Linked DNA regions of Sus scrofa. The protein of the gene in region 1 interacts with the protein of each later gene in a pairwise test. Links are inferred from orthologs where the notes say so. Each region holds a gene or a part of one and is shown in the gene's direction. Other genes may lie near its edges.

Region 1 (4,004 bases):
TTGTGATCGCCTAAGTAGCTGGCTTTATTCTTAATAGATCCCAGTGTTGAGAGTATTTGAAGGCTTGTCAGTGTTCCAAAAGAGTGACCTAGTTTCAGGCTCACTGAAAGCCAGGTCTTCACGCAGCAGCTTTTAAAATATGTAAATACATATAATCTTGTGGTCTGCAGTGGTAGACCCTGCTGACTTCCAGGCCAGGAGATCTGGGCCGGGGTGGGGGACAGTAATCCCCTGGGTAACAGTTGCAAAAAATGGACTTATATATATCCATATAAGCAAGCTGAGGCAAGGCCAGGGGAGAGTGCAAAGATGGTGTCTTCCCACCCAAGTTCCCTACGAGTATATCTGTAGTCCTATATGAAGGGCTGAAACCTGTCTCTCAGGTTGAAGCTCCTGGACAAGAGAATCTCTTTTTCACAGGCAGACTGGAATTATGTTTCATTCTGCTTTCTGTGCACCACCTAGATGTGGTAGCCTGCCTAGAACTGTCTTTCCAATTGTTAGAGACCTGGGGGGAGGAGGGGACTGGGAATGTTAGTCCCTCTGGCCACCAAACTAGGTGCATGGTAAGTGCAGACTGTGCTTACCTCCCAACCTTAGCAAGGCTGCAGGAGAACATGGGGGATGGGGAGCATCTGCAGCTTTAATGACACAGAGGGAAAGTGCTGCGAGTAGGGCTTGCCTGCAGCTAGAGCAAGGCCAGGAGAGAGTGCTGGAGGTAAGGCACACCTGCAATTTTAGCGAAGCATAGGCACTTTTTTTGAATTACCTTCTCTCAGGGCCTCTTACTCAATCCACTGTCAAGAAGTCCCCCTAAAGTTATACCTCACTCGGTCCCAGAAATGAATCTGCCTTCAAGAAGTTACCACATAGTGACATGTTTTGTGACCTTTAAAGGCAACTTTCTTTGAAACCTGATGATAAGAATTTTGAAGGAGTTAAAGAAAGGTGAGTTAAAAGTCCCTCATCAGGAGCTCTGCTATCAAAGTCAAAGAAAGGTCATTCTTACTAGAATGTAAATGTTATCCTCTGGAAATTCTTCAGAGCCTGTCAGAGTTTAGCCTTGAGGGTAATGAGGCAATCACTGAGAGCATCAACCCTTTCAGGAGAATCTGTGCCCAGCTGTGAACTCTATTTTGGGTGGAGCTTGTTTGCAAATAGCAGCCACATATAACACCTGGTAAATCTGAAATGTCTCAGAGAGCAGGCAGCAGGCAGGGAGAAACGATACCTGCGATTTACTCCTCGCTATGGAGAGAGACAGATTTCTTCATTCGCGTCTCATGCTGTTTCTCCTCTCCCTATTTTCTGCCAATGTCTCAGATTCTGCAAAACCGTAAGTCTCCCTCCAAGTCCCTTGCTCAAGAATCTGTTTTTTATTTCAGTCTCTCCCTGATATCTTTGCCTTGCCCTTCCTATGAAATGCTACCCTTCCATTCCTTAAGGTAACTTACAGTTATAATAGATTAATACATTTTTTTCATTCATGTACCCTACATTCTTGAAATAGTGTTTTTCATTGAGTCAATAACAGTCATAAATACAATAAGTAGTCACTAAGAAGCATGATTTGATTAGACACTGAAACCACAGACCTCACTTTCACAGATTTTTGTTTCAGATGGAAGATGCTGACTATAAAAATATTTAAGATGTACAGTTTGGAGTCATTTGAACTCATATTGTAGATTCTATGTGTACAGAAAGTAATAAAAGTGTTAAATTATATCATGAGCATATAATTTACAAAATTCCTACTGTGGAAAACTGACAAGCAATTCAATTTCTCTAACAAATAACTGTCTCAGAAAGAGAGGAGAGCAAGCCTACGGAATTAAAGAGATTGAAAAAGTATATCAATCAATCATAATGTATAAACCTAATTTTGATCTTGATTCCAAAGACAGTTTTTTGAAAAACATCATGACATTTTCACAAAAAAGTTATAAATGTGCACTGGCTGGATATTTGAATATTCATGATATTAAAATACTTTTGCTAAATGTTTATGTATAATAAAATAATGTGTGTGTTTTCTTTTCTTTTGGAAATACATGCTGAAATATTTATTTGCTTCAAAATGATAATAGGAAAGGTGAATTGGTGAAGAAAGTAGATGGGAATGTGGATGGGATGTAGGTAAGGCAAGAATGGACACAGATTGTTGGCCATTAGAACTGGGTATTGTGACTCTAGTAGTTTATTATGTTCATATAACACTGTGGATATATTTGGATTCATTACATTACTTTGTCTAATTTTATGTACGTTTGAAATTCTCCATCATAAAAACTTAAAAAAAAAACAATGAAAGTTACCAATAATTTACTATTGAATAAACATAATATATCAAAATACCTAGTTCATTTGTTTAAATACCTGATACACATAGAAGTATTTTACAAACCTTAACTAACTATATGAATTGAAAAATCAAGATTGTTAAATGGTTGGAATGCATGAGAAAAAAACCTAGAAAAATGGAAAAAAAAAAAAACATTGACAGAGAAATTGTGAAAAACAGAAATTAATAAAACAGAAGCCAACAAAATGATATAATTACAAAAACAAAAATCAGTATTCTAAACATTAATAACGTAGTAAATTGAAAGCCTAGCCGAAAAAAAGACAGTACCCTAGAAGAATGAAAATTGTACAAATTATCAAAACTAACATTAGATTATTTTGAAAAATTGAATAAACCAGTGACCTTAAAAGAAAGTGAATTAAGAGTAAAGAGTATTCCTTCACTTACAGAAGACTTGTAAAAATAATTTTGTATTTTACCGAAAAGCTTTACCAAGCTTTCAAGGAAATGATAATCCCTATCCTAAAAAGGCTATTGAGAAAACAGAAGAAGAATACCCATACAATCACTTTAGAGTTTAATATCAGAGATGCTGTTTGGGAAAGATCCTTAGCATTCTCCTTACTTGCTGCAAATAATAATAAATCCTTCCTTTTTCCAAAAAAAAAAAAAGAGTTTAATATCATAAGGATTATAATAAAGAGAAGAAAATTAAATATCAGTCTCACTTATGAACATAAAAGTAAAATGCAAAAGAAAATATTGCCAATTTTTTCCAGTTGTGTATTTAGTTGATTTTACATGAGCTGCTATAACAGCTCTAAACTCAGTGAAACTCTAAAACTCAGTGAAAAAGCACAGTAACCCAAGCAGATGGAGGCTTTGTCATTTTCAGTGTGTCACTTCTAAAGCATACTCATCCAGCAAGCAAAGAATAAAAGAAAGTGAAGGTGCCCATAGGAAGTTTAAATATGCCAAACCTGGATATGATGTACATCACATTTACTTATACTCCATTAGCCAGAATTCAGTCACATGATGAGACAGTCAATCAGTGTATTCAGGAGGAAAGGGAAAGAAATTTGGTGTAGAACTAGCCAGTCTCTACTACAAGTCAAGTAGCTATGTGTTCCAGGTATAAATCTAGAATGCAATGAATTAAAACAACAATTTATTGTTTTTCTCTTGTGGTTCTATGGTTTGGCTGGGTTCACTCTACAGGGCAGTATTCACTTTGGTTCTCCCTTGCAGTTGATGTTAGATGTTGACTAGCGCTACGGTCCTCTGAAGATTCAGCTGGACTAGGTGTCCAAAATAGCTCCCCATGGAGCACATAGTTCATGCTGGCCATCCCCTGGTGGCTTATCTAGAAATGTTGACCAGAGTGTCAACACACATCCTTTCCAGATAGTTCAGGAGTCTCACAGCATGCAGCAGGATTCCGAAACAGAGGGTCCCAAGTACAAGCATTCCAGGGAACTAAGGCAGAAACTGAAAAGTCTCCTAGGACCTAGCCTTGGAAGTCACTTAGTATCACTTCCATTGTTGACCTGTTTCCAAAAGCAAGTAATAGGTAGGGCAAGGTCGAATTCAAGGGGAGGGAATTATATAAGGCCATGAAGGAAGGCATGGTTTATTGAGGAATCACCTCTAGCCATGCTGCCTTCCAATATTTGATGCTTGGCATATAATGACA
Region 2 (4,159 bases), on another chromosome or scaffold:
TCTGTACTCACTGATTCTTGCTTCTAAAAAATATCAAGGAGTTCCCCATTGTGGCTCAGTGGGTTAAGACCCCAACTCGTATCCGGGAGGATGTGGGTTTGATCCCGGGCCTCCCTTAATGGGTTAAGGACCTTGTGTTGCCATGAGCTTTGGCGTGGGCTGCAGAGGCGGCTCAGAGCCCGCGTTGCTGTGGTGTAGGCAGCTGGCTGCAGCTCCAATTTGGCTTGTAGCCTGGGAACTTCCAAATGCCGCAAGTGCAGCCCTAACATGGAAAAAAAATAAATAATAAATCGAAACTCTGAACATCAGAATAAGTAAGAAAAAAAGGATTCCGGCATAATGTTAGGATTGAAGGCAGTCAGGCTCAGGTCCAGCTAAAAATTCAGACACATTAATACTCCATGAATTAAAACTCCAGCAGGCTGGTGATTGGTGGGGAGAAGGGGGAAGGGGGAAGGGCTGCTTAATGGTAATTGATGTTCCCTTCCAGGTGATGAAAATGTCCTGGAATTAGAGGTGATGGTTGCACTGCATTATGAACTAAGTGCCACTTAATTGTAGGCTTTAAAATTGTTTATTTTAAATGTAATGTGAATTTCACCTCAATTTTTTAAAGTATTTCTTAATATGGAAAGAAAAAGATACAGGGCTTTATGGCAGAGATGGACTTCACTTAGTGAAGGCCCCCAAAGTGCAAAGCCTACATACCAACAGCGAGGTTGAAGAGGTTCTCTGCCACTTCACACAAAGCCGTTTGGAAAGCTTACAGAATTCCCTCAGGTGGATCCTAGTTTCAATAATAGCCAATTAACTGGCACTTAACACCAAAGCTGAACTCATTTCGGTGAGAATGAGTAGGAAGATGTTCATAGAGAATTTTCTAAATTGACGACTTAGTAATCCCCTGCGAGCAATGGAGCTCACAGGGTAAAAGTAGAAGCCATATTTTTTTCTGAAACGTTTTTGTTTTGGAGTGCGGGTACTCGCGAGGACTCAATAAAACCTCAGATATTACAAACCTAGGTGCTTAACTGTAACGAATGCGTTTGTCAATGGGGCAGCGTCGCACAGTGAAATGGGGAAAACCCAGGCTGAGTCTCTTTCTGTGGAGACGAAATCAAGGGCTAACGCTCACCGCCATTCCCTTCCGCGGGAAAAGTCCCTCCACCAGCCGAGGAAGGCGGAGCCTCGGGGGGCACTCCCGCCAAACAGCGCGAGCTAGGCCGCTGGGCTTTCTGGAAGTTGTAGTTTTAGTCCCGCCACCCATCTCTCTTGTACAGGTGCGTATGAAGTGAAACAAAACTACAACTCCCAGAGTGCTCCAAGGCGGCGAGCGGCCGCGGCGGTGACGACTGGCGGAGAAGGCCCGGAGGGGCTTTGCCTTCTGGAGTGGCGCTGCTTGGGCTGGTGGCAGATTGTAGGCTGCTGGCGCCGCGTCTGAGGAAGACAGCGAGTGGATTCGGCATTCCTTGTCGGTGTCTCCGCAACTATGAGTGCTGCCAGGGAGTCCCATCCGCACGGGGTGAAGCGTTCAGCCTCTCCAGACGACGATGTAAATAACAATGGCGAAGTGGTGGAGGGTTGAGGCCTGCTGAAGGTTGGGGTAGGCCGGGAAGGGTGGATGAAGGAGGAAGCGCCTGTAGTGGTCTGAAGCGGGAGGGCCGAGGGGTTGGGTCCAGAAGAATGAGAAATGTTCGGTTTTATTAATTAGGGTCGGAATTTTTGAAGATGTCCGCAGGCTAAGAGCTAGAGGCCTGCGTACGAAGGGGAATCAAGGAGGGAAATCCTCAGTGGTGAAGTGAAAAGACCTTGGTGGAGAAGTGAAAGAGCCTAGTCAAGGGACCATATTAGCCTAGTTGGGAGCTGATGGAGCTTCTTTTTGGGGCCTTTCTACTCAGAATAGAAACGGCAAGACCCTTCCTGTTTTACGCTTCAGATGCTCCTATGATAAAGTCAAGATCTTTGTGCAAACGTGGACAGATTTTCTGACCGGGATTATTTTTGCAATGTACTGTTAAGGGTTAAACTTTACTGTTAAGAGAAAACAAGAACTGTATTGAGCGGAAAAAATTGTACTAGGGAAATAATTTGGTATTGGTGCACGGTGCTGAGAACTAGAGACGTTGAAACATAGAAGCCCGGTTTTGATGTCAAGTACGAGTTCTCTTCCTTCTCCCCACAGCTTATCGGTTTAAATAGCAAACCATTCATTCCTGAAAGTAAACCATTAAATATTTACTGCTATGCCAGGTGCTAAGAATTCAAAGATGAATAACTATGGTGCTATCCTAGGCCATCTGTGTATTTGTACTAGCAACTAGAGAGGCGTCATGGACACTAACCAGTAAACGTAAAACTACGTACTCCGTACAATAGATAAATGCCATGGAAACGTTGATGAGGAAATTCGGGGGAGGAGGGGCATGGAGAGTTCATCGTTAAGGATGAGGAGAATACATCTGGTTTTCTTTCTGTTATTTAAAGTGCTTTCAATTTCTGAATGTGTAGCGTTCTTTATTTTTTATAGTGCTGTTCACTTTGATAGTATCTTACTTTTCAAACCATAAAAGGCTCACTGAATACTGTTAGTGCATTGTTTGTAGCAAAAGAGATGCTCTTTGGGTAGGTGGTGTGGTTAGGTCCTAAATTACCGTAAACCTCTTCAAGGAAATTGATTTTAGCTCTCCAGAAAGGTTAGTAATGAGTAAAGATTTGGGGATGTATAGTTGTCTAGTGAGATTTATTCACGCCCTCTGTTCCTCCCGAAAACTGGCTTTGAGATAATTTCTTGTTAATATGGTAATCCCATATTTCACCAGGAATTTACCTAGGCTTTTGAGTAACTTGATGCCATTTTAAAAGCCATTACGTTGTTTTCTTACTGGTATTTAACTGTAACTTGATTGCTAGAATGTCAGGCACCTGTTTTTCTAGAATCAGAAATAATCTTTTAGTTTGACAGAAAACTCTTGGTGATATTAGGTAATTTAACAAAATTAAAGGGATTAAGTAATTAAATTTCTACAGCTTCTGATGTGATCAGTTTAAACTGGATGACCCAAGACCTTTTCCAGTCCTATAAGTATTCTCTTTGAAGGAGATGGTTCAAGATTAGGTCTTAGGACTGTCACACATTATCTTAAAATGATTTTGTTTCTAATGTTATATTTATTACAATACAGTAATTTGCCCCCTTCTAGTAATTTTTTTTCATTTTTTTCTTTTTCTTTTTTGTCTTTTTAGAGCTGTACCCATGGCACATGGAGGTTCCCAGGCTAGGGGTCTAATTGGAGCTGTAGCTGCTGGCCCACACCACAGCCCATGTCCTCATGGATACCAGTTGGGTTTGTTAACCACTGAGCCAGAACAGGAACTCCCTAGTGATTTTTTTTTTTGTCAGTTTCTTTCATACTTTTGTTCGTAATTGGGAGTTATCTTTAAGTGCTTATGGTTTTTAAAATATTTTAAGAAGAATATATTCAAAATTTTAAAATATACATCTAAATTTAGGAAATCAGGAGTTCCCTTTGTGGCTCAGTGGGTTAAGAACCCGACTAGTATCCATGAAGATGTTGATTCGATCCCTGGCCTTGTTCAGTGGGTTAAGGATCCCACATTGCTGCAAGCTGCAGAGTAGGTCACAGGTGCTGCTCAGATCCAGCATTCTGTGGCTGTAGTGTAGGCCAGCAGCTGCAGTTCCTATTCAATACCTAGCCTAGGCACTTCCATATGGCACAGGTGCAGCCCTAAAAAGAAAAATAATTTTCAAAATAAAAATAGAAAATCAACTAAGTAGATATGTAGTTGGTCAACAGTTTCTAATGAACATCTGCATGTAAATTACAATCAAAAGTTTTCCTTGCCCACTGACATCACATGTTAAAATGGTGTAACAAACCAATGGAATCCAATCCTAGATGCTGACAATGGTAGGAATGAATTCTAAGAGTTAACTACAGTGTGTCCTGACGAGGAGGCAAATTGATTGCAGTTCTACAATAAGGGTATTAAGAATGAGGCCAATTTTAAAGTGTTTTCATTGGTCTGATTGGAGTGGAGAAATGAAAGCCATCTTCTCAGGAAGTAGGAGAGAGGGTGAGGTTAATTTTAGTAACTGATGAAGAATCTCTAAGAATGTATCAGGCACCTATGTTCTTTT

Evidence for each region. The genes of interacting proteins can lie anywhere in the genome.
Region 2: the proteins of A2M (region 1) and C2H11orf58 interact in a two-hybrid assay, tested with the Homo sapiens proteins (2 studies listed by BioGRID and IntAct). The link is inferred for Sus scrofa from reciprocal best matches to the Homo sapiens genes A2M and C11orf58.

What each region holds. Positions count from the first base shown.
Region 1 is NC_010447.5:62,405,736-62,409,739, forward strand, and holds the start of A2M (alpha-2-macroglobulin), read left to right. Parts: upstream 1-1,192; 5' UTR 1,193-1,250; coding exon 1,251-1,336; intron 1,337-4,004. UniProt on the Homo sapiens protein: Is able to inhibit all four classes of proteinases by a unique 'trapping' mechanism. This protein has a peptide stretch, called the 'bait region' which contains specific cleavage sites for different proteinases.
Region 2 is NC_010444.4:42,361,722-42,365,880, reverse strand, and holds the start of C2H11orf58 (small acidic protein), read left to right. Parts: upstream 1-1,358; 5' UTR 1,359-1,489; coding exon 1,490-1,552; intron 1,553-4,159.